Linked DNA regions of Ovis aries. The protein of the gene in region 1 purifies or fractionates together with the protein of each later gene. This does not show direct contact. Links are inferred from orthologs where the notes say so. Each region holds a gene or a part of one and is shown in the gene's direction. Other genes may lie near its edges. The genes, in order: MAPK6, ECH1, CEP170 and ECI2.

Region 1 (7,896 bases):
GGAATGAAAACTGACCTTTTCCAGTCCTGTGGCCACTGCTGAGTTTTCCAAATTTGCTGGCATGTTGAGTGCAGCACTTTCACAGCATCATCTTTCAGGATCTGAAACAGCTCAACTGGAATTCCATCACCTCCACTAGCTTTGTTCGTAGTGATGCTTTCTAAGGCCCACTTGACTTCACATTCCAGGATGTCTGGCTCTAGGTGAGTGATCACACCATCGTGATTATCTGGGTCGTGAAGCTCTTTTTTGTACAGTTCTTCTGTGTATTCTTGCCACCTCTTCTTAATATCTTCTGCTTCTGTTAGGTCCATACCATTTCTGTCCTTTATTGAGCCCGTCTTTGCATGAAATGTTCCCTTGGTATCTCTAATTTTCTTGAAGAGATCTCTATCTTTCCCATTCTGTTGTTTTCCTCTATTTCCTTGCACTGATTGCTGAGTAAGGCTTTCTTATCTCTCCTTGGTATTCATTGGAACTCTGCATTCAAATGGGAATATCTTTCCTTTTGTCCTTTGCTTTTTGTTTCTCTTCTCTTCACAGCTTTTTGTAAGGCCTACTCAGACAGCCATTTTGCTTTTTTGCATTTCTTTTCCATAGGGATGGTCTTGATCCCTGTCTCCTGTACAGTGTTATGAATCTCCGTCCTAATTGATGACACTTCAGATTTGTTAGAATAAGATACATAATCAAAACACATTTCACAGAACAGTGTTTTTACCCTTTGTTATAGGCTATGCTTTCTAGTTTTTTCTATTTCATTAAGAAAAAAATGCAGATCTTAATCCACCAAAATGACTTCACTATGTATGGCAGTTTGAAAAACTACTGAGAACTTAAACTCTTTACAGCCACACAAGAGTTACGAACTAAACTGACTACATTAATGACTCTACAACCCCAAAATATGCTTAAACATGATTTTAATTTCAAGAAATTTCTGCCCAAAAAGATGAAGTGGCAAATAACTACTGCAGTTTCAAGACCTTCGTCAAAGTCCATTTAACTGAACAACAAAGAGACCTAGCCTTCATCAAGGTAAACAGCCCCTCCTCCATAAGACTACTCTTGTTGACTTTTTAAGGTTTGCTTCAAAACTCTTCCCTAGGTCTAATAATCCAAAGATTTGTTGTTTGTTGTTCAGTCACTCAGTCGTGTCTGACTCTTTGCAACCCCACAGACTGCAGGATGCCAGGTTTCCCTGTCCTTCACCATCTCCAGGAGTTTGCTCAAACTCATGTCCGCTGAGTTGGTGATGACATCCAACCATCTCATCCTCTGTCGTCCCCTTCTCCTCCTGCCTTCAATGTTTCCCAGCATCCGGGTCTTTTCTAATGAGTCAGTTCTTCGAGTTAAGTGACCAAAGTATTAGAGTTTCAGCTTTAGCATTAGTCCTTCCAATGAATATTCAGAGTTGATTTCCTTTAGGGTTAACTGGTTTGCTCTTCTTGTAGTTCAAATATTATATCACAAAATGTAGTCCTATCTCAAACATGCTTTCAGGAGAAGGCAATGGCACCCCACTCCAGTGCTCTTGCCTGGAGACTCCCATGGATGGTGGAGCCTGGTAGGCTGCAGTGCATGGGGTCGCTAAGAGTCGGATACGACTGAGCGACTTCACTTTCACTTTTCACTTTCATGCACTGGAGAAGGAAATGGCAACCCCCTCCAGCCTTCTTGCCTGGAGAATGCCAGGGATGGAGGAGCCTGGTAGGCTGCCGTCTATGGGGTCACATGACTGAAGCGACTTAGCAGCAGCAGTAGCAGCAAAAATGCTTTCACTGAAAGACCTGTTTTTAACCCAAATTCTCTGAAGCTATCCTACCCTTGACCTCTTTCTCTAAGATGCTACTAAAACTCTGTCAACAAATTTGGCTTTGCTTGATCAACAGGTTATTTCGGTGGTCTTTGACACATTATAAGCTCCCTAAGGGAAAGCATAGCGCTTCTTATTTATTCTCTACCCTCTCCTCATCACTGCAGATCGTGATGCACTTGCTCCTTGGAGGGAAAGTTACGACCAACCTAGACAGCATATTAAAAAGCAGAGACATCACTTTGCCAACAAAGGTCCATTTAGTCAAGGCTGTGGTTTTTCCAATAGTCATATATGGATGTGAGAGTTGGGACTATGAAGAAAGCTGAGTGCCAAAGAATTGATCCTTTTGAACTGTGGTGTTGGAGAAGACTCAGTCCCTTGGACTGCAAGGAGATCCAACCAGTCCATCCTAAAGGAGATCAGTCCTGGGTGTTCATTGGAAGGACTGATGTTGAAGCTGAAACTCCAATGCTTTGGTCACCTGATGCAGAGAGCTGACTCATTTGAAAAGACCCTGATGCTGGGAAAGATTGAGGGCAGGAGGAGAAGGGGATGACAGAGGATGAGATGGTTGGATGGCATCACCAACACAACGGACATGGGTTTGGGTGGACTCTGGCAGTTGGTGATGGACAGGGAGGCCTGGCGTGCTGCGGTTCATGGGGTCGCAGAGAAGGACACTACTGAGCGACTGAACTGAACTGAACCCTCTCCTCCTGATGTTCAAACACTGATGGATGGGGGAAGAAAGGTGTCATGAATTTCAGGGGAGCTCCAACAGGCAGAGCAGGGATGTACAGTAGTCAAAGAGGAGCTCTTGTTGTAGAAAAGCGGCATTCACAAATAAGAAATCCTGTGGTTTGGACAACTCTTCCCTTTTTCTTGGTTTCATCTACTCATTGCGTCCTCTTCACACCTGCTATTCAGATGGTATTACTTTTAATATAAAAAAATATAAACCATTCAAACTCCATCCCACTCACTTAACTGCAAGCTAGTATGTGAGCTTTGAAGTGGTCTTTGCCTCCAGCTTGAGGATACGCATAATAATAGATACCGGGTTGCCAAACCTTTGGTTCTCACCAGGAATGGTGATTCGGTCCCTGAAAAAAATATGTTGACCTGTGTCTCTAATTTAATACCTACTACATTTCACATAAATACTGGAAGGCTTCCTGGATTGAATCAGCCATACTAAAATGAATAAATAAATAAGCTTTTTTTTTTTTTGTCCTAGTGGGCCCAAGAGGGTACCAATCTACATTTCCCACTTACCTCGCTGTACACTCTGGTCCAAATTCTACGCTTCCCTCAGACTGGCTTAGTCCCAGCTCCTGCAACAAGCCAGGTGCTCCCCTCCTCCACGTTGTGGCTCATTCTGTTCCCTCCGCAGGAACAGCCCCCCTCCTCCGCCAGGCCATCTCCTCTAGTTTCAAGGGCTCCTTCTCATTTAGCTGAAAGGTCAGCGGTGGCAACCTCATTTAGAAGCCTGCCTTAGCACTTGACCTTTAACGCGTTTGCCTTCTTCCTTGGCTGTTGCTTTCTAGCCCATCCATCTTCGGGTCCAGCTTCCTAATTCCCAGGGGATGGGGAAGTCTTGCTCCTCTAGGCCGTCCAGTCCCATGCACGTAGTAGGTGTGCAGTAAACGCTCACAAAGAGTTTGACCACCATGTGCTCTAACGCTGGGGCAAGTAGCAGAGCGAAGAGAGCCTGTCTGTTCACCTCCTTGCCAGCTCCCTAGCCCAGCCCAGCGCATCCAACCGGAGGCGGGGGACAAGCCCGCGTACTTCTCTTGCCGCCCCCGCGGCGCGCGGAGCCCAGTCCCGGGCGTTGGAAATTCCGGCGCGTGCCGGCGCGCTGGGCCGGGCGGGGGCGGGGGAACCCGTGGAGTGAGCCTGTGACGTACGGGGGCGTGGCTCCAGAGCCTCCGCCCCCTCTTCCTCGCCCTCTCTCGCGGGTCGGGGTTACATGGCGGCGACTGCGGCAAAGCGAGAGCCTCGGAGACGCCGCTGCCGCCAGCACAGCCGGAGACCTGAGCCGACACTGGGGGCTGTCCGTGGGCCCTGCACTCCCTCGATGAGTCGGAGAAGTCCGGTAGGTATATGTGTGTGCGTGTGCGGGGCGCGCCGGCGGGGCGGCTCAGGAGGGCGCCGCGGCGGGCCCGGCGGCTGAGCCGGCTCTCTCCTCCATTGTGTGTGACCCTCCGGCGGCCGTCGCTCAACAAAGGCGCTTTTGTTCCGTCTCCCGCCCGCCCTCGGCCCGCCCGCCGGCTCGCTCTCTCGGGCCTGGCCGGCGCGTCCTCCCGCGGGCCGCCGGCGGCGGGCCGGGGTCCCCGCGTGGGGCCGGCAGAGCGGCCGGCGCGCCCCTCCCACCCGGCACGCCCCTCGCGGGCCGGGGTGCCGGGCCCGGCGGTGCGCGCCGGCCTCGGGCCAGGCTTGCCGGCTGCCTGCCGACCGCTTACGTCTGGCTCCGCAGGTTCGAAACCCGGCCCGGCCGGCGGCGGGCTGACGCGGGGCGGCGGCCGGGAGGGGCTACTCGCCTCAGCAGCGTGAGGTGGCGCGGAGTCTAGCCTTCCTGGCACGCCGCCTTTCGAAATGCTCCCGCGTCTCCTCCCCCATCCCACTCCGGTGACTCGGCCTCAGCTGACTCCGGCCGGGCAAAGTCTCCCAGTGCACAAGGCACATTGCGTAGCGCGCCGCTCACTCGACTCGGCGCGGAGCCCCGAAGTCCTCTGCCCGAGTTGAATCTGGCCGCTAAGGAGGTACAGAAAAACTCCAAATCGGAATTCCTAATTTCTTCCCCCTCCCTCTACTACAGTCTTGTCTGAGCTGCGTTCGGGACGCGCGCAGCGGTGGTGGTCCGTGAAAGTCCCCAAATGAAAACTTGTTTTGTCTGTTCACAGAAAAAGGGCTTCCTCGCTTCTCGGTGCATATTTCTCTGATTTGGTGAGGCTCGTTGATAAGTAAGGATTTTTTTGGCCGCTTTTTGTTCCTTAATTGGTAAGATTGGTTCAGGTGTTAGGTGGGAGCGCTCCGAAGCAGGATCTTTTCGATTCCTTTCCTTTTTGTTTCTACCTTTGCTCGCTCATTGGGAAAGGTCCACTAACGTGAGGTACTGCATTTGCAGCACAATTCGTGTTCTTTTCCTTCATCGCTAAAAATGCCCTCCAAAGTCAGTCTGAGTATTTTTTTTTTTTTTTTTTACAGATACAAGATGATTTATCAAGGGAAAGAAAAATTAACAGGGGACAAAATAGAGCGATAACAGCTTCAGAGTAGTTTTCCGATTGTTTAAGTCGTCTAGCCTTGTTATTTTTTAAAGCTCTGATGGGACGCATCCTCTCTCTTGAACGTTGGGGAACTGAAATGGAAAGAGTAGTCTAATTAGAAGGTTGAAGGGATCAAACAGGACTGGGCCCTGAAAGGAAATTGCCTCTAGAGTTTCTTCTTAGAATGTCAGATATTTATGTTTGAAATAGGCTTGCTAATCGGTGGCAGAGACTTTACATTTCTTGAATGGGTAGTTGTTCCGACATGTTTAGGAAGGGCTTGCTATGTGCCAAGGAGCAGAGAGTCCTTTCACATCACTGAGTAAGAATTGCCTTGTGAAACTTGTAAAATTGCTTATTGGTGTCCTGAATTCAAGAATTGCAGTCGTCTAGGAAATATACCAGATTTGAGCAGGACGTGTTTTAATCACCTAAGAATTACTGTTAGAAAAAGAGCTCTGGGAAATGAAGGATTATTTATAAAAACCTTTATCTATGACCATATTTTGTAGTTCAGTTATTTGCGAAAGAGGATTAAAAATGTTTGCTACTTTCTGTGATTAAGAAAGAATCCAGAGAAGATTGATTTGAAGATCAGTTAATTTGCGATAGAAAAAGTATATGTTCTAATGACAAATGTTAGTACTAAAAGTGTTGCAGCATTTTGCATAAGTTCGTTTAAACATCGTGAGAATTCATAACAGAAAATAGTAAGGTTTGCTGACTCAGGGTACATTGCTGAGGGGATGGGGTCGGGTAGGAGGAAGCTTCGAAGTGCTGCAAGTTTTGAGTTGGGTGATGACTCATCCTGCCCACGGACTGCTACGTGGCCCTTTTTTTTTTTATACACTGTATTTTTTTTTTTAATGATAGGCTAAAATGCTCCTGTCTACATTATAATTCTCTCTCACACAGAGGAGCCACAGATTCTCTAAAAAAGTAATGGCTTCTAAAATTGCATTTTAAAGGGATATCATATATTCTGCAGGTGGAATTTGGTAACATTTGTTGAAAAGAAAGGTAAAATTAATTGCTAGTCAGTTGGGGCAATGAAATATTTGATCCTATGGGTTGGCCAAAAAGTACGTTTGGGTTTTCCTGTAAAATGTTAGGTGAAAACCGGAGGGAACTTTTTGGCCAATGCCACAGCAGTTCCTTGGCTGTTGATGAGAGAGATTTCTTATGGATTTTTTTTACAGATAGTACTTTTATGGTATAGATAGAAATTAACCATTTTGTTTTCATTGGTAATGTAAAAGTTAACTTTGTACTATCTAGAATTTAGTTTGTATTGTAAAAGTACAGCAGTGTTTAATCAGATACAGCTCTGAACATGAGCATTTCACTCTGGTGGAATTATATATAGTGCTTTCTCCTTTTTTCTAATCTATATTAATTTAATAGACTGTAATATATAATAATTTAGTTTAAAAGTTAAAATAGGTATTGTTATAGGCACTATTTTTTCATCAGTCCTTTTGGATTTACATTGAAATTTGGTAATAAAATATTTTGACTGATTGTAGAAAGCCATTGTTTAGCAGGTTGGCCTAAAATAAGATTGAGAAAAAAGGGGATTGAGAATAACAATGTGTTTTAAAAGTGAGAAGAAAAACTCGCCACTCTCATATTTTTCTTTGTATATACTATTTATCTTCTCAGTGATTTATTTGAATGGTTTTATGGGCAGTAAAGTGTATTAATGTGAATTAAGTCTTTGAAGAGATTTTGGAAGAACATTGCATGATTTATAGAGGGGAACTTTAGTAAAGTTTAATTCAAACTTTATACTTCCTACTAAAGCAAATATAAAAATACAAGTATGAAAGTATTAGAGACTTTCAAAAGCCTTCTAGAGGTTGAACATGTATTTCCAGTGTGTGTTTGTGTTTTAAGAATGTAGGTAATTACCTGTCATGCTTAATTCAGAATTTATAAACTGGTTATGTTAGTCTGTCTTCCTTCTGTGAGGTATTGACTTATGAAATGATGATGAGCCTCCCTGTTGCTATACAGTTCTGAGTTTGCATTGCCCACTTGAATTCTATGTTACTTTAGGGCCCCTGTTAAAATAGAACATGCCTCAGTAGTAAATTCTTTGTAGCATTGTTGGCTTCCTACTGTCAGCTCCTTCAGCCTGATTTGTGGGCTGTTAACATTACCCTATAGCCTGCTAGAGATATGGAGATTTTGGTTGGTTTTATTGCTCAGTCCTGATTGAGACTTTACAAAAACAAAAATGTTATTGTAGTTACTGTTTTTTTTTTCCCCCCTTGGGAGTTGCTTTTCATGTGGAACTGATGCCTTTAATAGTGGCATGGGCAGAGTCCACCAATGTTTCTTTTCCTTCTGAACTGCATATTTGGAAAGTGTAGTGTATCCCCTTTGATATGTTTTAAAAGGTTTATCTTACATAACATGTCCACCTTTTAAATCCATTTCTGAAAAAGTATACAGAGATTGCAGCAAATGACATTTTCCCATTGATTTTCATTTAAATTTGATGTCTTTTTCATAGGGGAAAAAAAATTTTAATTCAGGAAAGAGACTGTCTCTTCAGAATGTGAGAAATCTATGTGCATTTAATTCTGTACAACCATAAAACTATAAAATGTTAGTTTTTACAGAGGGGTCCTGGACATTTTATCTTCCCCCAGGTACATCATTTGACTGCTCAAGAAACTGAGGCCCAGAGTGATCTAAAATCTTGGTACAGGTGATTTCTGAACCAGTAGTATTAGCATCATTTGGGAGTTAAATGCAGAATCCTGACCCCATCTCAAGACTTATTTAGAAGCTACAGTTTAA
Region 2 (7,658 bases), on another chromosome or scaffold:
CCTTCTTATCTTTACTCCTAATGTGTGGATGTGTCATAGTTTACTTGGTCCTGAAGGTAATTTCCGTTTATTTGGTTTTGCAAACAGTACTGTGATGTGTATCTTTACACAAACTTCTTAAGCAACTTCTCTGATACTGATCTAGAAGTAAATTCCTAGCAGTGGAATTGCTGGATTAAAGGGTATGTTCAATTACTGTTGATATTCCCTGATAGCAGTGAGTGGGAACAAAGTCTAGTGCCTCGCATATGTGTATCCCCCACTTGGATGTGTATCACCACTTTGGGGTTTTCCTGTAGAGTTTTTAAACAGTATCTACTGAAGTCAAGTGACATCAGATAAACTGCTTCATCAGGGTTGAAACTTAAGAGAACCTCTAAACAAAGAAACTACAGTCACTTGGCAGCCATAACTTACACAATCTACTAGGTTTTAAGCTACTTGGGTAAAAAGTAAATTTACCTACTCTGACTCCCAGGGGCACTCAGCTTTCATCCCACGTTATATTTCCTAGGTAGCCTGTGCATAAGTTTACTCAGACCCACGTCCATTGAGTCAGTGATGCCATCCAATCATCTCGTCCTGTCAACCCCCTTCTGCCTTCAATTGTTTCACAACTGTCTTTTTATACCAACCTAACTAAATGTACTACCTCTTTAAATTTCTCTCAAATCTTGGTACTTGCTTAGTAGTTCCAGATAACCAAACAGTTCTGTCTTCCAAAAGAGCTTTACCATCTGACATGTGAAGAAGGCAAAATGGGACTTAGCTAGCAAGTCAAGGGTGCAGCCAAAAGAGGAGAAAGACAGCAAAATATTCATTTCAGTCCCATGTGTCAGGGACACCTGTTCACCTCCTACAAGAGCATACTTAAGCACTTCAATAGCACTTAAAAAAAAAAAAAAAAACAGGCTTTAGAGTGCTGGCTCAGAAATAGTGGCCCAGGGGCTTGGTTGCTCCATAGCGTGTGGAATCTAACCTCACCACTGATCCAACCTGTCCCTTGCATAGCAGGGCGGATTCTTTACCACTGGACCCCCAGGGAAGCCCCAGTTTTGCTTTGTTTTTTAATACTCTAGGGTTAACTAGCTTTTTCCAAAGTCATTTTACTTTTGAAAGAAAGTTTCAACGTGTACTTACTGTACATATAAATCCCCTCTAGCACTCCTGAAGCTCAGAGATCTTGAACTAGTGACTTCTCCCCAGCCAGTTTCTTCTGCATACAAATGTAAAATAGACCTGGAGCAAGTGAGGAGGTAGATGTAACAGTAAGACCCCCGCCCCCAGCAGCCTACGAGGGGCCTTGGTTTAGGGAGACAGACGTGAAGATGGGCTTCCCTGGTGGCTCAGTCAGTAAGGAACTCCTGCAGTGCAGGAGAACCGGGTTCTTTGGGTGTGGTGGGGCAACTCAGATTACACAGAGTTTAACGTTGGGCCGTCTGTATTCACATTCCATTATGTGGATAACTTTGGTGGGAACTATTTTTTCCTTTTTAGTTAAGTCTCTCAGTCGTGTCCAACTCTTCGCGACCCCATGAATTGCAGCACGCCAGGCCTCCCTGTCCATCACCAACTCCTGGAGTTCACTCAGACTCACATCCATCGAGTCAGTGATGCCATCCAGCCATCTCATCCTCTGTTGTCCCCTTCTCCTGCCCCCAATCCCTCCCAGCATCAGGGTCTTTTCCAATGAGTCAACTCTTCACCTGAGGTGGCCAAAGTATTGGAGCTTCAGCTTCAGCACCAGTCCTTCCAATGAACACCCAGGACTGATCTCCTTTAGGATGGACTGGTTGGACCTCCTTCCAGTCCAAGGGACTCTCAAGAGTCTTCTCCAACACCACAGTTCAAAAGCATCAATTCTTCGGTGCTCAGCCTTCTTCACAGTCCAACTCTCACATCCATACATGACCACTGGAAAAACCATAGCCTTGACTAGACGGACCTATGTTGGCAAAGTAATGTCTCTGCTTTTGAATACACTATCTAGGTTGGTCATAACTTTTCTTCCAAGGAGTAAGCGTCTTTTAATTTCATGGCTGCAATCACCATCTGCAGTGATTTTGGAGCCCCAGAAAAAGCCTGACACTGTTTCCACTGTTTCCCCATCTATTTGCCATGAAGTGATGGGACCAGATGCCATGATCTTAGTTTTCTGAACGTTAAGCTTAAAGCCAATTTTTTCACTCTCCTCTTTCACTTTCATCAAGAAGCTTTTTAGTTCCTCTTCACTTTCTGCCATAAGGGTGGTGTCATCTGCATATCTGAGGTTATTGATATTTCTCCCGGCTATGGTACAAAGGCATGATTGCAAACTTGGGAGGTCGGCAGTTATTTCGCCATTATGCCCGTGGACATTCAGTTGTCTCCAGTTTCTCCTTTATGAAACAGCTGTGATGAACTTTGTACAGAATGTTCAAAAGCAGTGTGAACTATTTTCTTAGGCCAGGTTCCTAGTGGATTAAAGGTTTCATGTCAAATCACTCTAATGGCCGCGAATTTAGAAGACTGTTTCCGGTTGCCCTTGATAAAGATGGCGGAAAGGGGAACCGTCTCCGCCGTCAGCCTGCGGCTTCGATGCCCTCACCAAGTATGGCGGCCTCTTGTCCCCGCCCCCATAAGCTTACTCCCGTCGCGTTACACCACCAGTCAGTAGCAATGGCGGCAGCGTTTGCGGCTTTTCGGCGATTCGGCGACTTGCTTACCCGGCGTAAGTCACCTCTTGATCTTTAAGGGGTCCGTTGAGCTGTCGTCCTGTCATCGCGACAGCTGGACGGAGAGGCCTGTCCAGGGTCACCCAGGGTTCGAACCCCTTATTAAACTCACGGGTCTATGTGCCCCCATCCAGAGGGCTTCTGGCTTACAGTTGGGCCGCTGACAAGCTCAGTGTACTCAGTCTGGAGTGAGTACCACGATCACAGGGCTTTCTGGGTGGCGCTAGTGGTAAGAACCTGCCTGCCAATGCAGGAGACTAAAAGACGCGGGTTCAATTCCCGGGTCGGGAAGATCCCCTGAAGAAGGGCACAGCAACCCACTCCAGTATTCTTGCCTTGAGAATCCCATGGACAGAGGAGCCTAACGGGCTATGGCCCAGAGGGATTGCAAAGAGTCAGACACGACTGAAGCAACTTAGCGTGCACCACAATCGTGGGTCTGAAGTGATCCTCAGACTGAGGCCACTGATAAATGCACCTGAATCTTAAACTCTGGTGGGGGTGGTGGTGCTTTAGTCACTCCATGGCATCTGGCTCTTGTGACACCATGGACTGTAGCCTTCCAGGCTCCTCTGTCCATGGGATTTCCCAGGCAAGAAAACAGGAGTGGGTTGCCATTTTCTTTTCCAGGGGATCTTCCTAATCAAGGCGGTGGAACCCAGTCCTCCTGCATTGCAGGCAGATTCTTTACCGAGTGAGCCACTAGGGAAGCCCATCTTAAAGTCTATATCCCCTAAACCAAGGCCTCTCATAGGCGTGTGTCCCCCAACCTAGTGTCAACTGAGATGTGTACCCTCTGCCCTTGAAGGTGCTGTGCCCCATATTCAGGGTCATCAAAGGCACTTCCTACCTCTGTCTCCCCAGGACTGACAGCCTCCACCAACCTGGGTCTCAGCCTTCGCCCAATGAGTGCCTCTGCACAAGAGGAAGCCTCCGAAGCATCCCCAGAGGAAGCCCCAGGCCACAGCTATGAGTCCCTTCGGGTGACAGCTGCCCAGAAACATGTTCTGCATGTGCAACTAAACCGGCCTGAGAAGAGAAATGCCATGAACAAGGCCTTCTGGAGGTCTGGCCTGCAGATCCTGGAGGCCTGCCTGCACGAGGAGGCAGGGGCTGAGGGACTGGGCAGGGGAGGGCCTGAGGGCAGGGGATTCCCACCCCGACACAGCCCTTCCTCCTTTCCCCCTCCGCAGAGAGATGGTGGTATGCTTCAACAAGATTGCAGAAGACTCTGACTGTCGTGTGGTGGTGATCTCTGGTGCAGGAAAAATGTTCACTTCAGGTACCAGCTGCTCTCCACACCCACCCCTGCCAGTCTCCCCTGCTCCTGGGAATAGAATAATGCTTCATAATTAGGGTTTTAAGCAGCTTCTAAATTCTGCTTTGTATGCATGCTAAGTCGCTTCAGTTGTCCGACTCTTTGCAACCCATGGACTGTAGCCCACCAGGCTCCTCTGTCCATGGGGATTCTCCAGGAAAGAATACTGGAGTGAGTGGCTGTGCCCTTCTCCAGGGGATCTTCCTGACCCAGAGATCGAACCCATGTCTCATGTCTCCTGCATTGGCAGGCAGGTTCTTTACCACTAGCGCCACCTTTTACTTGGGGAAAGTGAAAGAAAGTGAAGTCACTCAGTCGTGTCCGACTCTTTGCAACCCCATGGAGACCAGGCTCCTCTGTCCATGGGATTTTCTAGGCAAGAATACTGGAGTGGGTTGCCATTTCCTTCTCCAGGGAATCTTCCCGACCCAGGGATCAAAGCCAGGTCTCCCACATTGTAGACAGACGCTTTACCGTCTGAGCCACCAGGGAAGCTCTTACTTGGGGAAGGTCTACTTAAATCATTTTCAAATGTAGAAATTAGTCCAACAAAAGACAGGATCACGGGCTCTAAAGTCTGGGTTTTCAAGCTGAATCTATGGCCTTGATCAAGGCCCTTGACCTCTCAGTCTTTTTTGTGTGTGTCAATAAAATGTGTTGTGATAATTACATGCTTTCTGGGGATTTCCCTATCAGTCAGTCCAGTGTTAGGATTTGGTGCTTTCACTGCAGGGGCCCAGGCTCAGTCCCTGGTTGGCGAACTAAGATCGCCAGCTGCACATGAAGTGGCCAAAACCTTTTTTTCTTAAATACATGCTTTTGTGCAATTAATTTTGAACCTACATGAACTGATTTTCTGTCTGTTGGGTCTTTTGATTGTCCCACAAGTCTATTCTTCAGGTTGGATAATTTCCATCTATCAGGTTCATCATCTCCTTTGTCATCTCTCTTCTGCTGTTAAACCCATCTAGTGATTTTTTTTTTAATTTCAAGGTGTAAAAAACCCAATATTGCAGAGCGCAGTACCATGAGATATGCCTATATCGTAGATTCCACTTTTTTTTATATAGTTTCCATTCTTCTGCTGAAGTTTCATATCTTTTTATTCGTCGCAATCATATTTTTCTTTGTGTCATTCAGCATGGTTACAATGGCTGTTTTAAAATCCTGTCTCCTGATCCCAACATCGGGGCCGCCTTGGGGGTCAATCTCTGTTTATTACCTTTTCTCTTGAAAAAAAAAAAAAAAAAGGGTCTCATTTTCCTGTTTCTTTGTTTTTGGAGTAAGGTTGGATTGCATGTATCCTGGATGTTGGACTATGGGAGAAAATGATGTGGAAATTCTAGATCCTATTACATAATTCCATAGTGCTGAATTTCCTGTTTTAGCAGCTAAGTTGATATCAGTTTTTAAATCTCTTTGCTGGGCTGTAGGTCTGGTTCATGGGATCTCTTGTTATAGACATTTGGGCAGAGCTCATACACAGAATCTGGGGCTCCCCTCTCTGGCTGTCTGCTTTCTGGAATTTTCCCCCCCTCATTTTCCATCAGTTGAGGTCCCCCTGGGCTCTGTCCTGTGGTTCTTCAGGCACAACTTCACCCTGTACTCAGGTTAAATAAAAAAAAAACCAGGTAACTCACTTGGCTGGTTCCTTCTAGAAGAATCTGCTTGGTGCCCTCAGGTAATTGGACCTTGTTCACCTAGGGCACATAGTTGGCATCTGTGGGAGGCTCCATGCCAGAAGTGAAGGGTCACATACACTGATTTCTGCACAGGGCCCAGCCCAGTGCTGGGTACCCGGCGGTGACTGAGATAGCCCCAGGCCCTGCCCCTCATTCAGTGGGGAAGACTGGACATTAAACAATGTACTTCTTTGTGTTTCCTCTCTTTCCTTCTGTGCCCTTGTTCTTTCTGTTCCTCTGTAACATTTTCGCCTGTCCCTTGTTTCCTTTTTCTGTTCTCCTTCATTTCTTTGTTCATCCATTCAACATTCAGCGACATCACTCCAGTGTCAGCCCGCTTCCTGGGTGACACCAGCCTTGAAATAGGACAGGATGAGGGTTCATCTCTAGCTGTGCCAGGCCAGAGGTCCTCATCTTTCAGCTCTTAGTTGATTGTGCCCATTTCGTCCCATTTTCAACCTAAAGGCCAGAAAGAAGACATTCAGTTTAATTAGCAGTTTTAAAGATTGAATGAAACTGCTAATTAAAAAAAAAAAAACCAGTCCAGACTTATTTACATTTGTGGAGTGTCTCTAAGCACTTTACACATGTTAATTAATTCTCACCACAGCCCTATGAGACAAGCTCAGTCATCATCCCCATTTGATAGAGGAGGAAACTGAGACCCACAGAGAGCAAGAAGTGTATCCAGTCCTCACTGTTTGGATTTTTGAATGTGGGCTGCCTGGCTGCAGAATCCTTGCCCTTCACCACTGAGTGACTATGGCCCAGATGTGTGGCAAGCTGATTCAGAGTATTCCTGGCCCAGTAACCAGCCACCTGCCACCTCTACACACCTTCACCTCTCTGTGAGCCTCTGATCTGAAGACAGTGGAGATGCTATGAGCACCCATGGGTGCAGTGGTAAAGAATCCACCTGCCAAGCAGGAGACACAGGTTTGATCCCTGTGTCGGGAAGATCTCCTGGAGAAGGACATGGCAACCCACTCCAGTATTCTTGCCTGAGAAATCCCACAGACAGAGGAGCCTGGCAGGCTACAGTCCATGGGGTGGCAAAGAGTTGGACACAACTTAGCAACTCATCACCCCCCTCATCTGGTTGCATCAAGGATTAAACGAGTTAACAGGCACCAAATGTTAACTCATGTGAAACTTTTATTGATGTAGCTGTTATTCTTGATGATGATGAATAACTTAATTGTGACGATGAATGAGATCTGAAACATTTAGAGGTTCCCAGGGAGCGAGATGGGAGACTCCTCAAAAACAAGTTCTGGCTCTGGAGGGAAAAGACCTCGTGCCATAAGCTGGGGCCCTTTATTCCAAGGGGTTGCAGACAACCACCCATGTCTGAATATCCAAGTAGGGCAGATAAACCAGCAAAGCCAGTGGGAGGAGGTGTCGCAAGTTGCCGAGCTGAGTTTGTTCTGGGAGTAAGCGTGGTTCCCACTGAGTCATACAAGCTTCTCAGACCTGGTATAGAAGCCAGCAGATGCCTGCAGACTGATGCAGGCGGTTCTGGCCTTGGCAGAGATGGAGTGTATAATAATAGGAACTATTGTGATGCCATTACATGCCAGGCACTGCTCAAAGCGCCATGAGCTCTGTCTCTTGAATCCTTGCAGCCCCATGAGCTCTCGGGAGGGTTTTAGCCTCAATTTTCAGAGCAGAGACCCAGAGGATGGAGTGAACTGGCTGAGGTCACACAGAGTTCTTTTTTCTTTTTTAAAAATAATTTTATTGTATTTATTTATTTTTGGCTGTTCTGGGTCTTCATTGCTGCGAGGGCTTTTCTCTAGTTGTGGCGAGCAGGGGCCACTCTCTAGCTGTTGCATGAGGGCCTCTCATCGCGATGGCTTCTCTTGTTGCGGAGCAGGGGCTCTAGGGTGCAAGGGCTTCCGTAGTCGCAGCTCCTGAGTTCTGGAGTGCAGGTTCAGGAGTTGG
Region 3 (7,909 bases), on another chromosome or scaffold:
CACCTCTTGAAACATCAGTAGGCTGATGAAGATGTTCATCCAGACTAGTGATTTTACTCTTGCAGTTAGAATACTGAGAATGTTGACAGTTTATAACACTGCTGACAGATGGAAACAATAGGTAATAACCTTTCAAAGTCTAGACTCACTAGATTCAAGTCTCTTATCCCCTCAAAAAATCTTCACTTTGCCACAAGTACCAATTATAAATTACAGCTAACATTTAACAAGGGCTTATGTGTCAAGTACTGATCTTTACCCTTCTTCTTTTTTTAATCGTGATAATCTGTAGCTATTTTACTGTCCTTCACTGCATTAATCCAAAATCTTCCTGAGGACAGTCACTTTGTGTAGTTCCTTATGATATTCTCAGCATGTGGTATGTCTAATGCATAGTAGGCACTAAATTAATGAATGAGTCAACGTTTTAAATGCTTTAAATATTTGTAAAGCTGTTGGTCATGACCTAAAGGGTTAAGAAAAGGCAAAGGAACAGAAAGTGGAGTGAATTACTTCTAGTAGAATAAATATTCTTTAATGAAACTTTTGTTTTAGTCTGTATGCATGCGCGCATGCTCAGTGGTTAAGTCGTGGCCAACTCTTTGCGACTGTATGGATTGTAGCCCGCCAAACTCCTCTGTCCTTGAGATTTCCCAGGCAAGAAAACTGGGTTGCCATTTCCTCCTCCAGGGAACCATTCCCACCCAGGTATTGAACTCCTGTCTCCTGTGTATTATGCATTGGCAGGCAAGTTCTTTACCACTAAGTCACCTGGGAAGCCCCTAGCCTATATATATGACTCATATAAAATATATTTTTACTTACGGCTAAGAGTTAACAAAAAGTCTGAAGAATCACTGCTTTATTTGAATTATTTCATTTGCTCCTCACAAGAACCATGTAGATAATATCATAACTTCTACCTTAAAATAAGAGAAATGAGGTTTTCTAGATGTTATATGGGATGTTCAAGATGATAGACTATCTACGTCACTTTTATTAATGATATCACGATTACTATTAGTGAAACTTTAGTTAATTCAGATTTTCTTATGCTACTCATTGGGTACTATAGTAAGAAAATCTGAATTAACTAAATAAAGTTTCAGTAATAGTAACTGAGACATGATTAATAAAGACAAACAGGGTTTCAAGGCAGACAAGTCTAACTGAATTTAATACCTGGCTCTTCCACTAACCAGCTATGTTGGCTTTGGCCTAACTTAACCTTTTCGACCTCTATTTCCCCATGTGTAGAAGGACAGTCATAAGGTTGTAAGTTTTAAGTGATTTAATATATGTAAATAGCCTAGACCACTAAATAGAAGCTGTTGCGATTAAAATAATTATTAGTGGTCACCCGACCCCCCTCCCCTGCCCCGGGTCCAATAAACCACATTCAATTTTACACATAATATGAATGTGTAAAGAGAGCATCAGGAATTTACTGGATTATAAAGAGAGGTATGAGAGCTGGACAGAACAGGCATATAGCCATCCAAGAGTTTCTGCGGGCCTCGGGTAAAAAAGATGCCCAAGACAATCAGGGAGTTGGTTCAGGTCACTATGGGAATCAAGGGAAACAACGCTGCTTAAACGTAAAAACAAACACAACTATTTAATCCTTCCACAGCAACATCCATCTTCTTTCTCTGCAGTCTGGCAAAGGCTGGACCAAGGTGTCAAGAATCGCACCAGGTCAACTCCCAGCCACGAGGTCCCGGTATCAAGGAGCTAGGGCACAGAGGTTCGGAGAAACTCACCCCGGAGACTACGTTGACACTGCCCCAGAATCTCCTCCAGGGTAGAGTTCTCCGGGGACTTCGCCATGCACACACTCGGGGGCCAGAGATGGGTGTTGCGTGCGGAAGTGTCCAGTGTCCTCCCCTCCAAGAATAAGAGGCCTCAGCCCCTAGGATGCGCCCGCCTGCTTCCTGCAGCTGCTGTCACAGGGGATCAAGGAATCCCGGAGATTTCGGGCCTTTTTCCACCCTCGGGGCCTCGTGGTGGACGTCGGAAGCTGTAGTCCTCAGTGTCTAAGTCTACAGTCTCGAAGTTCCTACGAACCCGCCCAAAGACTACAATTCCCAGAGGGCAACGCGCTCGAAGCTCACGCTCTGGCGGTTTGGCGACCAGATCCGGTTGCCAAGAGACTGCTTGGAGGCTCCGCCCATTTCTGTAGCCTAGTCAGGCTTAGTCCTGCCTTCATCCCATCCTACTGTCTGGACCACCTAACTGACAGAAAGGGCTCGTTGAAAGGCTTTATTTATTCTTCTAAATTCACTAATATGCAGTTGATTCTTGAGGATTCTCAAGAACGCAAATAACGAGCTCCTACACCCTTCAGCCTCAACATCTCTCAACACTGCTAAATAAATTTTCAGGAAAAAGAAGCTCTGAATTTCCCAAACGGCGTAGATCGTGAAAGCGGCTGACACGCAATCTTATCAAGCCCAGCGACCCGACAGCAGCTTAGTGTTGGCGCACTGCCCGCTGGGAACTGTAGTCCCAGCCCGTTGCGGTCCCAGCTAAAGCCCGGGTCCTGTTCATTGTTGAAGCAGGTCTTCGGCGTACGCCTGCGCAGTCAGCAGCTGGAAAGGCCTGTGGTTGAGACCCTCCGCACAACTCCTTTTCATTGTCTGTGCTCGGCGCCTGCGCAGTAGGAGTTCGCCGGGACTGGGCCGGAGAAGGGGTAGGGCCGGGCTCCTCGCCCTCTCCCCAGGCGCCTGCGCACTGAGCGGCCGCTCCTTGCCGTTACCGCTATGTGCGGAGCGTGTGTGGAATAACGTTATTGCCCAGCAGCGCCGAGGGGCCCAGAGCTCGACAGCGGCGGCGGCGGCGACGACGACAGGGTGGGGGAGGACGCTTGCGAAAGACTCACGGGACGCGGCGCGCCCCGCCCCCCCGTCCGGTGCCTCTCAGCAGTGAGGGGTAAGTGATGCGCTCTGATGCCGTCGCCGCCGCCTTTCCACACCCTGCTCCTCGGGTTTGCAGCGGGGGCTCGGGCGCGGCCCGCAGCGGGCGAGGGTGAGGGCCAGCGGCGAGGGGCGCTTCCCCGAGGCTCCGCGCGCCGCCCCCTCCCCCGGACCTGGGACTCGGCGGGGACGCCCATCCCCCCAGAGTCCCCCCCCACCCCCCACCCCAACCCCGCGTCCCCTGGTCCAGCGGCCCGGCTTCCCCTGCTAGTGTCCACGTATTGAGTCGTCTTTGGCTGTCCTGGCTTTGTGCAGCCCCCTCCGCCCGAGCTGTTTGCAGGGGTGCGGGCGGAGCAGTGGAGGGAATGGCTGCGCTGCAGCTGGAGAAGGGGTTTTTCCCGGTCTGAGCAGCTCCCGGTGTCGACCCTTTTTGTGTGGTTGGTTTTGGGGTGTGGGGCGGTATGGAGAGGTCTGGCGAAGAGCGTTTTGGACGTGGTGGGAGGGCGTGGAAGATGTGGTGTCACTCAGCCCGCCGGGCCACAGCACCCGCGCAGGCTGTGGCTCCGTAGTAACCCGGGGGAGGAGAGAGTGGCTTCCTGTCGACTTCATTGTCCTGAGATTCAAATGTGGGCTTTGGTATGGGTCCCCTCATTGCCAGGGGAAGAAGAATTAGCAGCTGCCTAACCAGGGGCGGGAAGATGTGGGATTTGGATCCTAAGTCATAAAATCTCTGGGCTTTTGTTTTTTTTTTTAGTGTTTAGCGGAGTTTTTTTTTTTGAAAATGTAAGCTCCAGGAAGACAGGGACAGTGCCTGTCCAAGCATTGCCAAGGTGATCCATGTAAAATTACTAGATCACGATGAAGAAAGGACTAGGAAGGGCCTGACGACAAAGCTGTTTGTGTAGCAGGAAGATGAACAAGCAGAATGTTTTTTCATTGGGTGGGTAACGCATTCACGTTCCTAAGGGAATAGGGTAGGATACATCTTTCCGTTTTGTTTTTTAAGCACTCAGAATTAAAAATAGGCCTGGTACATTTCTGTTTCTGAATTTTTAAATGCATGTTTTTATTCTCTTAATGAAAATTTACCCGCTTGGGAGAAATTTAGTGAAGTAGATGATGCACTTGATTGAAAATGCATTGCTTAAAATGATTTTATTGTTAAGCTTACAGTGCATACAGTCGTTTGCTGGCATTAAAACCAGCAAAAGAGATTGAAGCAGGAAGGGGAGGACCCGGTGGAGGAATGATGTGAAAGGAGAGAGTTACATTATGAATACAGTATCCAGATCTTCACTAATATAACCTTAGCGGGGCATGTGCAATGATATAGGAATTCTACTCTGGAAATACTACATTGCACGTTACAAACCATTTTGTATTTTTCTGCAGTTTCTTTAAATAGTAAAACCAGTGCTGCTTTTACTTTTTCCTAACTTTATAAATTTTGTAGAATTTTTTTTTTGTTTTAAAACTGAAAAATCTAAATGCACTTGACAGAGACAGAGGAAGATATTAAAACTTGGAAAGTCAACTGATTTGTCTGTCCAAGCCCAACTGCTAATGAAAGGCAGAGTCAGATAAAACCAAGGTCTTTTTTCCAATGTGCTATTTCATCTGTGTCCCTTAGTCCCCCTACCCTGTCAAAATTGTGGAATGCTTTTCTGCATGCTCTTTGTCTGTGACAGTCAAGTTTATTAATACCTCATAGTCGTATTATCTAGTCTTTTTCTTTTGATGTAAAAGCAATACTAATGAAGAGGAACTTTAGTTTTATAAGTTAACTTTCTGATACAGGAAAAGATGCCTTAAAGTGGGCTTTTCGTAAAAACAGAAACTGTTGGAATTTTCCCCCTACTTCATATTAGTAACCATATTTTAATGTTATCTTTTGCTATTCAATACTATTTTATAGTATGATCAACTCTATAAACTGTTATAGGAGCTCATGAAGTTCATCGTTCTTAAATTCAGTGAATTTTGTTATATTCAAGTTAAACAAGAGCTTACTGTTTGAGGGAAGAAAATTCACATTGAACTTTTTAATTAAAATTATGCTCTTTTATTCAGTTGATTTTGCCAGAAAGTGGTTTTATTGTCTTATACTTTTTAATCCTTTAGTTCTACATTGTATTTTGATAGACTTTTAAAAGAGAATTAGTATGTCTCTTAAATTTCGTCTTACTTAAAAATAATCTGTAATTAAATTCATCATGTGGAATTAAATCAAACTTGAAATGTATTCTACTTTTAAATTTAATGATGTGCTAAAATTACTTTATTATGGAAGTAAATAACTCTGCATGCTTTTCAAATTTACGCTATAAAATTATCATACATAGTGTCAATTAGTATGAATATCTAGGTGATTTAAAAAACCCTATTGCTTAAGGATTTGTTTTATTTGTTCCAAGTATCAGTTTCTTGTTTCCTTTTATCTCTTAAAAAAAACCCAAAAGCCTCCCGAAACTAGTTTTATTGTTGCATCTGATAGTGACCAGCTGTCACTCATCTAGTACTAAATACTGTAAATGTTTAAACTTGTTGTCAGTATGGTTTTTACTCAACAAAATTCTGTCCCTGAAAAATAACTTGGTAAATAACTTGGTATTTTAATTAATGTGTAGTGATTTTCTTTTCTTCTTTATCATGAACATTGGGGGGATAACCAGTATACTGTCCTTATAAATATCTTAACAGACAGCATGATATTAAACTGCCAACTGAAATATCTGTATAGTTGTGAATTATTCTGCAAGTATATAAAAAAGAATTGCATACTGTCTGAAAAAAATTTGGTGGATAAATATTATTGACTGAAGCATTAAGTGTTATGTGTTTCAGTAAAAAATGAGTTTCCTCTAATGGGGAGAAACCTCAGACTATTTATATTTCATAAACTTTTGTTAATAACTAAGATTTCTAATAACTACCCTTGGTGAAATGGGTCTTTATTTACTCAAATATTTCTCGAGGGAAGTGCTCAGCAATGAGTAGCCAGTGTAGGCCGTCTAAAAGAGTAAGAAAACATCTGTCAGTAGTTGTTGTTTGGTTGCTAAGTCATGTCTGACTCTTTGAGACTGTATGGACTGCAGCATGCCAGGCTTCCCTGTCCTTCACTATCTCCCGGAGTTTGTTCAAACTCATGTCCATTGAGTTGGTGATGCCATCCAACCATCTCATCCTCTGTCGGCCTCTTCTCCTCCTGCCCTCCATCTTTCCCAGCATCAGAGTCTTTTCCAATGATTTAGCTCTTCGAATCAGGTATCCAGAGTATTGGAACTTCAATTTCAGCATCAGTCCTTCTAGTGAGTATTCAGAACTGATTTCCTTTAGGATTGACTGGTTTGATCTCCTTGCCCTCTAGTATGCTTGATTAAATTGGATATATAGTCCAGTTTAGTTGAAATGATTGTGCAACAGTATATTATATTTCTTGGGCAAAATGAATGACATAGCTGGTATGTACTAAAGTAAACCCCACTCCTATTCAGAGGTAGAAAGGAAACCAACAAAACCAAGGTTATAGAAATTTCTTTCATCCAATAGAGGTTATTCGAGGCATAGACATAGAATTGAATTCCAAGCATGCATTGCATAGGTTTGAAAAACAGAAAACAAAACACAGCAGAGAACAAGTTATTATTTAAGTGTATTGGTGGCTAACAAATAATATAGAAAATACTACCCTTTGGAACATAATATTTACTGAATACATGAGTAACGTATGTGTGTGCTTAGCTGTTCAGTTGTGTCCTGACTCTGCAACCCGTGGACTATAGCCTGCCAGGCTCCTCTTTTCATGGGATTCTCCAGGCAATGAGTAATACTTACTGTGTATTGAGTACCTACGAAGTGCCAGGCATTTTGTGTGTCTCTGTGTAATTCATGCAACCTTGTATAAGTAAGGTATTATTTTATACTTAAAGTTGAAAATACTTGAGGTCCTGAGTTAGTGAATAATTTTGCCTCTGTGTGATTCATTACTCAGTGGTAAAGCCTATTAACTGAACCTTTGTCTTTTTGACTGAAGCCAAAATTGTTTTCATTCATCTTTTTTCAGTAAGTTTAAAAAAATAACATTCATTTCCTCCTAATTCACATTATTTTAGAATCAGAGGAGACTTTAGAAGTCATCTCAAACGATGTGCCATTTATTACTAATCCCTGAGATCTTACTGAGCCCACCTTCTCCATGAGCAACACTTCCAAGAACAAACAGCCATAGGATGGCTAATTTGGCTTTTGAAAATTATAATAGAAAGCCCTTATTTAAACTGAGCTAGCATCTGCTTTCCTATGTAAGTTATTCTATTGGGTATAGTTCTTTTGTGAGATACAGTAAGGTTTTTCTCAATATAGTGGTTCTCTGCCAGGTTTTCCCTTTTCTAAGTTAAATCTGCAACCTCTGCAACTTCACATGATGCAGTTTCCTTTACCTTCCTCATCTCTATCACTAGATAGCTGTCAGTCAGTTTCGTCAGTGCTGTTCTTTTCTGTTCTGATTCTGCTTCCACATTTAGTTCTGCAGTTGTGGTCTGAACGCAGTGTAGTGAAATTATCCCTTTCCTTAATTCCAGCCATTCAGTTGTGTTTACAGTCTAAAATTGTGTTAACTCCAGCAACAGTAATATCTTACCAGTTCTAAGCAGAAAAATGCTATGTGGCTTTTCAAGTTATATTTATCCAATTCAAGGGATTATTTTCTTTTTTATATTCTGTATTTCTATTTTTCTGGTGTTAAAATGACCTTTTTTTATGAAATGATAATGTTGATAGGTAGTAAGTTTCTTTTGATATTAATCTTTCGGTTTTGTTTTCGTGTTCTTAAATAAACAATAAAAAGTTGGCCTTCTGTTATTTCCCATTCTGTTTCTTAGAAAAATTTGTCTGGAAATCACTGATGTGGTCAATATAAACATGCACCTTTTTTATGTTAGGATCTTTCCCATTCTGAATATACATGTAGATAATGTTTTTAAACAATGTTTACC
Region 4 (7,194 bases), on another chromosome or scaffold:
CCATAATTTATGTCATCATTCCTCTGCCAGTGAACAGGTGGATTGTACTTATTCTTTTGCTATTAAAATCATGCTGCAAGGAATATCCTCAGACATCCATCTTTCAGTAAATGTGCAAAGATATCCTTGTTGTAGAAGTGAAACTGCTGAGTTTCACAATAACTGGTCATAACGGCCAACAAGCGTATCATACTTCATATTTGCTGAGCACTGGGCTAAGCATTTTAATCTGTTTGGTGGCTTTCTTAATTTGTAACTCTTCTAAGCTTTCTTGCAATAACTCTATGAGATTAGGCCCTATTATTACTAGTATTTTACAAGTAAGAAAACCGAAAGATTAAGTGCTGAGAAATAGTGCTTATTCTCTGGGCTTCCCAGGTGGCGCTAGTGGTAAGAACCTGCCTGCCAGTGCAGGAGACATAAGAGATACCGGTTCGACCTCTGGATTAGCAAGATCCCCTCCAGGAGGGCATGGCAACTCACTCCAGTATTCCTGCCTGGAGACTCTCCAGAGACAGAGGAGCCTAGTGGGCTACAGTCCAACGAGTCACAGAGAGTCAGACATGACTTAGCTCACATGCTTGTTCCTTAGTTATTTTCTATATACCCTTCGCTTTGGTTTCCTATTCTTTTCATCTAAGCATTGTAATAATAGGTCCTTCCGTTTTCAGAAAGGATTTTTGTTTGTTTTGCAGTTCTGTTATCAATTCCTAGCTTATAATCAGAGATGATCAGTTTTTCTGATTTTTTTTAGAATCTGTTAAAATTTCATGTATACTAGATGTATATTGAAATATCTACCTTGAAGATTAAGAAGCAAAAAAATGACTAATTTTTTTTTATATCATCCAGAAACACTTAAAAAGTAACTTCAGGGACATCCTTGGTGGTCCACTCCCTCCCTGGTCCCAATGCCAGGCACACAGATTCAATCCGTGGTCAGGGAAACTAAGATCCCATAGGCCACACAGCCTGGTCAAGTAATAACAATAAATGTTTAAATTTTAAAATTTTAAGAATTAAAAGTAAATTCACTCTAGATTGTTAAGGTGTAGAGTTATAATTATGTCGATTAAACTTGCCTTTCTAATTCATGTCATGTAGATTCCCTAAATTCTGCTTTCCCTTCTAACTTACCTGTCTTGGACCGAGAAGAGCAGGCTGAACGCATCCATTTGTGATGGTGCCTCTCTGGGCCCATCGAGCCGGGTGACCCGCCCCAGAGCCTCACACGCGCTGTCAGCTACGGAGAACACCCCGCCCTGTTCCCGCCCCTGTCCCCCCTCCGCAGTCCGCCCTGCAGGCCTCAGTGCCCTTGTCCCCGCCTCGGCAAAGCCCCTCCCCGAGCCCCGCTGCGGCCGCGTTGGTTCGTCCGCGTGTGCTTAATGCGGCGGCCGCCGGTCAGCGGGCGCGGGCGCGCCGCGGGCTCTCGGTGCCCTCGCCGAACGCGGCGCGGGAGGCGCCCGGCGCGGGCGCGGGAGTGGCGCCGTGCTTGTGTTCGCAGGCAGCGGGGACTACTTCTGCAGCGGGAACGACCTGACCAACTTCACGAGCCTGCCGGCCGGCGGCCCGGAGGAGATGGCCCGGAGCAGCGCGGTCCTCCTGAGGTGAGGCGCCGGCTGCCCCGGGCGCTCGCCCGTTCATCAGGGTCTGAGCTTGCGGGAAGGAGAGACCCGGGCTCCCTGCGGTCGGCTGTGCTTGTCCCGCCGCCATCCGGAAGGGCGTCTGGCTCCTCGCGGTGACTCCCGTTCCCCTGGGCGCTCCGCACGGAGCCGCCCAGGGCCCGGCCGCCCGCTCCCGGCGCGCGCTCGGGTCTCCGCGTCGAGGCCGTGGCGCTCACGACTTGGCGACAGCACCGCCGCCGCCGCACCGAGGCTCCCGGGCTGGGGGCGCCTCGCTGCCCGGCCCGCTGCGCGCAGGGGGCTGGAGACGGGCCCTGCTGCCCAGCACCCTGCTGCCCAGCACCCTGCTGCCCAGCACCCTGCTGCCCAGCACCCTGCTGCCCAGCACGCTGGCACCCCGCGGCCCGTGCCGACTCCGAGGTGGCCGCTGGCTCACGGCCCTGACGGAAGGCCCAGGACGCAGGATCTGAACTGAGGCCGGCCGCGGGGCCCCTGCAGGCACCCCTCCAGTGTCCTGCAGACGGGGCCTGGGTGAATCGCAGGCTGCAGGCCAGGGAGGCGCCCGGAGGTGGAAACGTCCCCAGCTCCCCCCAGAGAAGCGCGTTCCGGCCCCCGGCCCCGCTTGTACCTCGGTGAAGCTGTTGCAAACAGCTCAACACGCTTGTCTGTTGCCGTGTCTGCAGGGATTTCGTCAACTGTTTCATAGACTTCCCGAAGCCTCTGGTGGCCGTGGTCAACGGTCCGGCCGTGGGGATCTCCGTCACCATCCTCGGGCTGTTTGATGTCGTGTACGCGACCGACCGGGTAAGTCCGCCGGCAGAAGCGAGTGATGTCAGGCTGGTGAAGACACGCTCCTCCAAAGGCTGCTTTGGCGTTGCCGATAGTAAACAGAGGGCATGCGGTCGGGGTTAGAAGGGATGAAAGTTACATTTTCCCCAAAGAATTAGTCGTCTTTGACGGGTCTTCCTTCACTATTAACCTGAGTTTTCCTAAACACCAGTGTTGTCTCCAGCATCGTCCCAGCCCTTTTGGTTCTGTTTACTCTCAGCCTTTGATGCAAGACTCATTCAACTTTGCTCTAAAATAGTTGGGAGACCTTCAGACTTGAAAGCACGGGTGAAAAAAAACAGAGCAGCTTTGAAGGTTATGCAAGTGAGTTATCTGATCATTTTTTTTCAATGTGAGTGAACCCTGGAGTCTAGAAATCTAGACTGAGAAAGGACTTTCAGGCGGCATCTACTTTCACTCCCCCCTTAGCAGATAAGAAAACCGAAGCTCAGAGAAGTTACTGCCTCGTGCTCACCATTGAATTACATAGATTTGCACTTCAGTTCCTACCGTAGTAGTAATGTATGTCATAGCAGAAAATAAAAATTTGGAAAATATGGAAAAGTACAAGGAAAACAACTGATTTAAAAATCACTCCTTGGGACTTCCCTAGTGGTCCAGTGGCGAAGACCCTACACTCCCAATGCAGGGGGCCCAGGTCCACCCTTGGTCAGGGAACTGGACCCCACGTGCCAAGCAAGAGTTTGCATGCCACAGCTAAAGACCCCTCGTGCCACAGTGCAGAGCCTGCATGCCACCACTAAACCTGCTGTGGCCAGGTAGATAAATGCTAAACATTTTTAAAAAATAAAATCACTCCTCTCCCCACTCAGAGATGAGCAGTGCTAACATTTGGGTTATTTAGCTTACCTAATTTAACCAGTCCCTGACACTGGAACCCTAGCATGTCTAGTTTTTTTCCTTATAAACAAAGATGTGATAAACATTTATCTTAGCGCTTTGACCCTAGAACTTCTCCTATAGAACTAATAACCACCTCTTAGGGTTATCAGAGTCTTAGAGTGACTCTTGCTTTTGTGGCAATGAAATTTGCTGACGTACACGTATCCTTGCAGGGAACAGTTGGGTTTTGCTGCTGAAGAGATTCCTGGTTTTGTTGGAGGTACCTTCTCCAGTAACAGGGCCATTTATAAGGGTCCTTTACTCCTTGCTCCATCTTTGACTGGATTCCTTTCAATCTGATTGGGCATATTGTCAGATCTAATACTTATTAATAATTTCCCCGTAAAAATAGCAAGTGCAATTCTAGACACTTGGCTACCTAACCTTTGTAGGTAGAACTTTCTGCCCAAAGGCAGAAATTCACAGTCTTCAGTCCCATTCTGTGTGTTAAATGACCCATCAGTTGACCTGCTTTGAGCAGGGTGAGAGCAGAAGTTCCTGACCTGAACTTGGCGGTCTCTTTCTGTAGGACTTGAAAGCCAGATAGTGTCATATTTCCATCTTATTCTCCCACTAGATTCCAGGTGACTGTCACGGGCATCATCTTTTTAAAGATTCCCAGGACTCCGTCTTATGATACAACTTAAATTAAAATTGAAATCAGAGGGAAATGTGTGTGTATTATATATGCTGACAGATTGGGCCCACAGTAAGATATTTGACAAATAGTGACCACCGCTGAGAGTTCACCCAACTGAATTAAACCAGGATTCAATTTCAAATCAGAGAAAGACACAGAAGAAAGAAGCTGTGGAGAGGAATTGATTTTATAGGATCTGTTCATTCCTGGCTTCTTGAATGTATACCATATTAAACGTGGGTTAACATTTAACCCATATAACCAATTATTCTTTATTATGGACAGTAGGTCATGCCTGTCTATTGGTGTCTCCATCAGCAAACAGCACATTTCCCCTTTGAGCTCATGAAAAGGTGGAAGTCATAACAATACTAGATAACTGAGTGGTCAGTCCACAGGAGACACTCTGCTGACGCCCATTACACGTATTCAGTAAGTGCCCATAGTAACGGCCCCGTGAGGCAGGGGCCCTCATCCCCATTTCACAGATGAGAAAACCGTGGCACAGAGGTCAAGAAGCTCCAGGGTCACCAGGCAGCCTGACGCCGTATCTAACCGTCTCTGCCTCTATTGCTCTTATTCCTGACAGTTAGCTCAGTGTTGCTTATAATCATGTTTATAAGTGAGTTACACGCCGCAGATCTTTCGCTTTCCGTGTACCTGTTTGTGGCGCTTTCCAGGGTTGGCTCCTTCTTTGTTTCCTGATTATGTTCCTTCCTTCTCAGCACATTTTCTCCAAAAGGCTTTCTTTTGGGGTCAAAAGAGAAGGCAGGTGACCTTAATATCTGTTTTCTTTATACTTTTATTATTTTGACTTGTCTGTGTTGCACATCATATGTTTTTATCTTCTAACAGTATTCATTGAAAAAAACCTCAGCCATGTCTGGATTATGGAAAATGAAGTCTAAATATGCTGTTTACAGAATTGTCAAATTATAAGTTAATTTCCTAAGAACTTTTCATTCATCAAGAAACACAAAAATATTTCTGACATCTAGGAAAACACGGAAAACACAGTTATTGTAGTCGAATAACTGACTGACTCTGTAGCCTAAATAACCAATATTAAAGTAGTTTTGGGTATTTAAAGCCAATCAAAAACCTCTGGGGCAAAATCGAGACAATTGAGAAAACAGCAATAGAGGCCAACCTTGCTAGTACAGTTTTTAAAATGAATTAGTAAAGTGATGGATCAACAACGTAATATAGAAACACAAGCTGGAGAGGAATAATACGGCTCACAGAAAAGAAAGTATAACTGGCTCTTGAAAATATGAGAAAGACACCATTAAGAAAAGGATTTGTAAACAGAACATGTAAAGAACTCTTACAGCTCAATAATAAAAAGATAACCAAGCCACCTTAAAAATAGTGGGCAAAGTATTGCAAATTCCTTCACCCAAGAGGGCACTAAATAGCTGAGAAACACGTGAAAAGATGCTCAGCATCATTAGTCATTGTTGTTTACTTGCTCGGTCATGTGTGATGCTTTTGTGACCCCATGGACTGTAGCCCGCCAGGCTCCTGTGTCCATGGGATTTCCCAGGCAAGAATACTGGAGTGGGTTGCCTTTTCCATCTCCAGGGGATCTTCCTGACCCACGGGTCGAACCCAGGTCTCCCACATTGTAGGTGGATTCTTCACCGCTGAGCCACCAAGGGATTAAAACCACACCAAGACACCAGGACACCCCTATGAGAGTGGGCAACACTCTGAAAAGGCTGATGCTGATGACAAGGTTTAGGGAGGACTTGGCGCATTTGGGACTTACACTGCTGGTGGTGGTGGTAAATGGTGCGGCCTCTCTGAAAATAGTCTGGCAACTTCTTAGTTAAACCACACATTTACCACACAGCCCAGCAATTGCATGCCTGGGTATTTACCCAAGAGAGTTGAAAATAGACATTCATCATAAGCTTACAATATCTAGAATACTGGAAATGCCACCATGGCTTCAACTGGTGAGTGGATAGATGGCTCCTGACACACCCATCGGATGCAGTACCGCTCAGAAAGAAGAAGGAGCAAAATCCTGGTACATGAGACAGCAACGTGGAGACCCAGGAGCCTTCTGCTAAGGACAGAGGCCTGAAAAAGGAGGAGAGGGTACAGGATGCACGATTCCATTTGTACACATTTGAGAAAGGGCAAAACTGTAGGAACAGAGCCGGATCGGTGGTGGCTCAGGCATGAGAGGAACAGGCTTACTGCGGAAGGGCACGAGGAACCCGAGGCTGTGTGCTCAGTCTGACCCTGCGACCTCACGGAGCTCACCAGGCTCCTCTGTCCACGGGATTCTCCAGCCAAGAACACTGGAGTCGGTGCCATGCCCTTTTCCAGGGGATCTTCCCCACCCAGGGATCGGGCCTCTGCCTCTTATGCCTCCTGCCGGCAAGTTCGTTACCACTACGGGCAATAGAAATATTCTATATCTTGACTATGGTAGTGGCTACATGACTATACATTTGTTTAAAACTCATCAAACTGTGTATGTTCAGAGAGTCAATTTGTGTGTATATGGGCACACTTTGAAGATATTGTGGGTCCACTTCAAGACCACCGGGATAAAGCAAATATCACAATAAAGTGAGTCAAAGGAATTTTTTGATTTCCCGGTGCTTTGAGAAGTTACGTTTACATTATAGTGTAGTCTGTTGAGAGTGCAAATAGCATTGTGTCTGAAAAACCATGAGCTATTTTTAAATGTTTTAAAAACATTTTAATTTGAAAATAGCACTGTTGGGAAAATGGCATGGATAGACCTGCTTGATACAAAGGTGCCACAAACCTTCAATTTATTTTTTTTAAAAAAGAAAAAAGCAGAGTCTGTGAAGCACAGTAAAGCAAAAGGTCAATGGAGTGAGGTCTGCCTGTGACACGATAAAGTACTTCAATTAAGCATTGTAAGGAGGACACAAACAGATGGCGATGTTTTTGAAATCACATGTGAAAAGATGATTTTCTTTTCTCTTTTTCTCTCCAAAAAGGCAACCTTTCACACCCCATTCAGTCACCTGGGCCAGAGTCCGGAAGGCTGTTCCTCTTACACTTTCCCCAAGATAATGGGCTCAAGCAAGGTAGGTCTCAGAAGCCTTAAAAATAAACGTGAGTAAGTCTCTCCACTCCAAAAAGCCGTCCCGTACTCCCTGTTCTTTCCCTCGATAATAGATAATAGGGACGGCACAGAAGCACATGGTCTGC

The links.
Region 2: the proteins of MAPK6 (region 1) and ECH1 purify together in Homo sapiens (affinity purification with mass spectrometry; 3 studies listed by BioGRID and IntAct, with this or other methods). This does not show direct contact. The link is inferred for Ovis aries from reciprocal best matches to the Homo sapiens genes MAPK6 and ECH1.
Region 3: the proteins of MAPK6 (region 1) and CEP170 purify together in Homo sapiens (affinity purification with mass spectrometry; 3 studies listed by BioGRID and IntAct, with this or other methods). This does not show direct contact. The link is inferred for Ovis aries from reciprocal best matches to the Homo sapiens genes MAPK6 and CEP170.
Region 4: the proteins of MAPK6 (region 1) and ECI2 purify together in Homo sapiens (affinity purification with mass spectrometry; 3 studies listed by BioGRID and IntAct, with this or other methods). This does not show direct contact. The link is inferred for Ovis aries from reciprocal best matches to the Homo sapiens genes MAPK6 and ECI2.

Annotation. Positions count from the first base shown.
Region 1 is NC_056060.1:56,517,116-56,525,011, reverse strand, and holds the start of MAPK6 (mitogen-activated protein kinase 6), read left to right. Parts: upstream 1-3,766; 5' UTR 3,767-3,914; intron 3,915-4,491; exon of another isoform or gene 4,492-6,108; intron 6,109-7,896. UniProt on the Homo sapiens protein: Atypical MAPK protein. Phosphorylates microtubule-associated protein 2 (MAP2) and MAPKAPK5.
Region 2 is NC_056067.1:47,917,955-47,925,612, reverse strand, and holds the start of ECH1 (delta(3,5)-Delta(2,4)-dienoyl-CoA isomerase, mitochondrial), read left to right. Parts: upstream 1-2,644; 5' UTR 2,645-2,658; coding exon 2,659-2,710; intron 2,711-3,578; coding exon 3,579-3,780; intron 3,781-3,907; coding exon 3,908-3,996; intron 3,997-7,658. UniProt on the Homo sapiens protein: Isomerization of 3-trans,5-cis-dienoyl-CoA to 2-trans,4-trans-dienoyl-CoA.
Region 3 is NC_056065.1:33,149,383-33,157,291, forward strand, and holds the start of CEP170 (centrosomal protein of 170 kDa), read left to right. Parts: upstream 1-2,656; 5' UTR 2,657-2,931; intron 2,932-3,242; exon of another isoform or gene 3,243-7,909. Other genes in the region: SDCCAG8 (serologically defined colon cancer antigen 8), read right to left, coding at 1,764-1,830.
Region 4 is NC_056073.1:49,166,739-49,173,932, forward strand, and holds part of ECI2 (enoyl-CoA delta isomerase 2), read left to right. Parts: intron 1-1,504; coding exon 1,505-1,607; intron 1,608-2,305; coding exon 2,306-2,426; intron 2,427-6,980; coding exon 6,981-7,070; intron 7,071-7,194. UniProt on the Homo sapiens protein: Able to isomerize both 3-cis and 3-trans double bonds into the 2-trans form in a range of enoyl-CoA species. Has a preference for 3-trans substrates.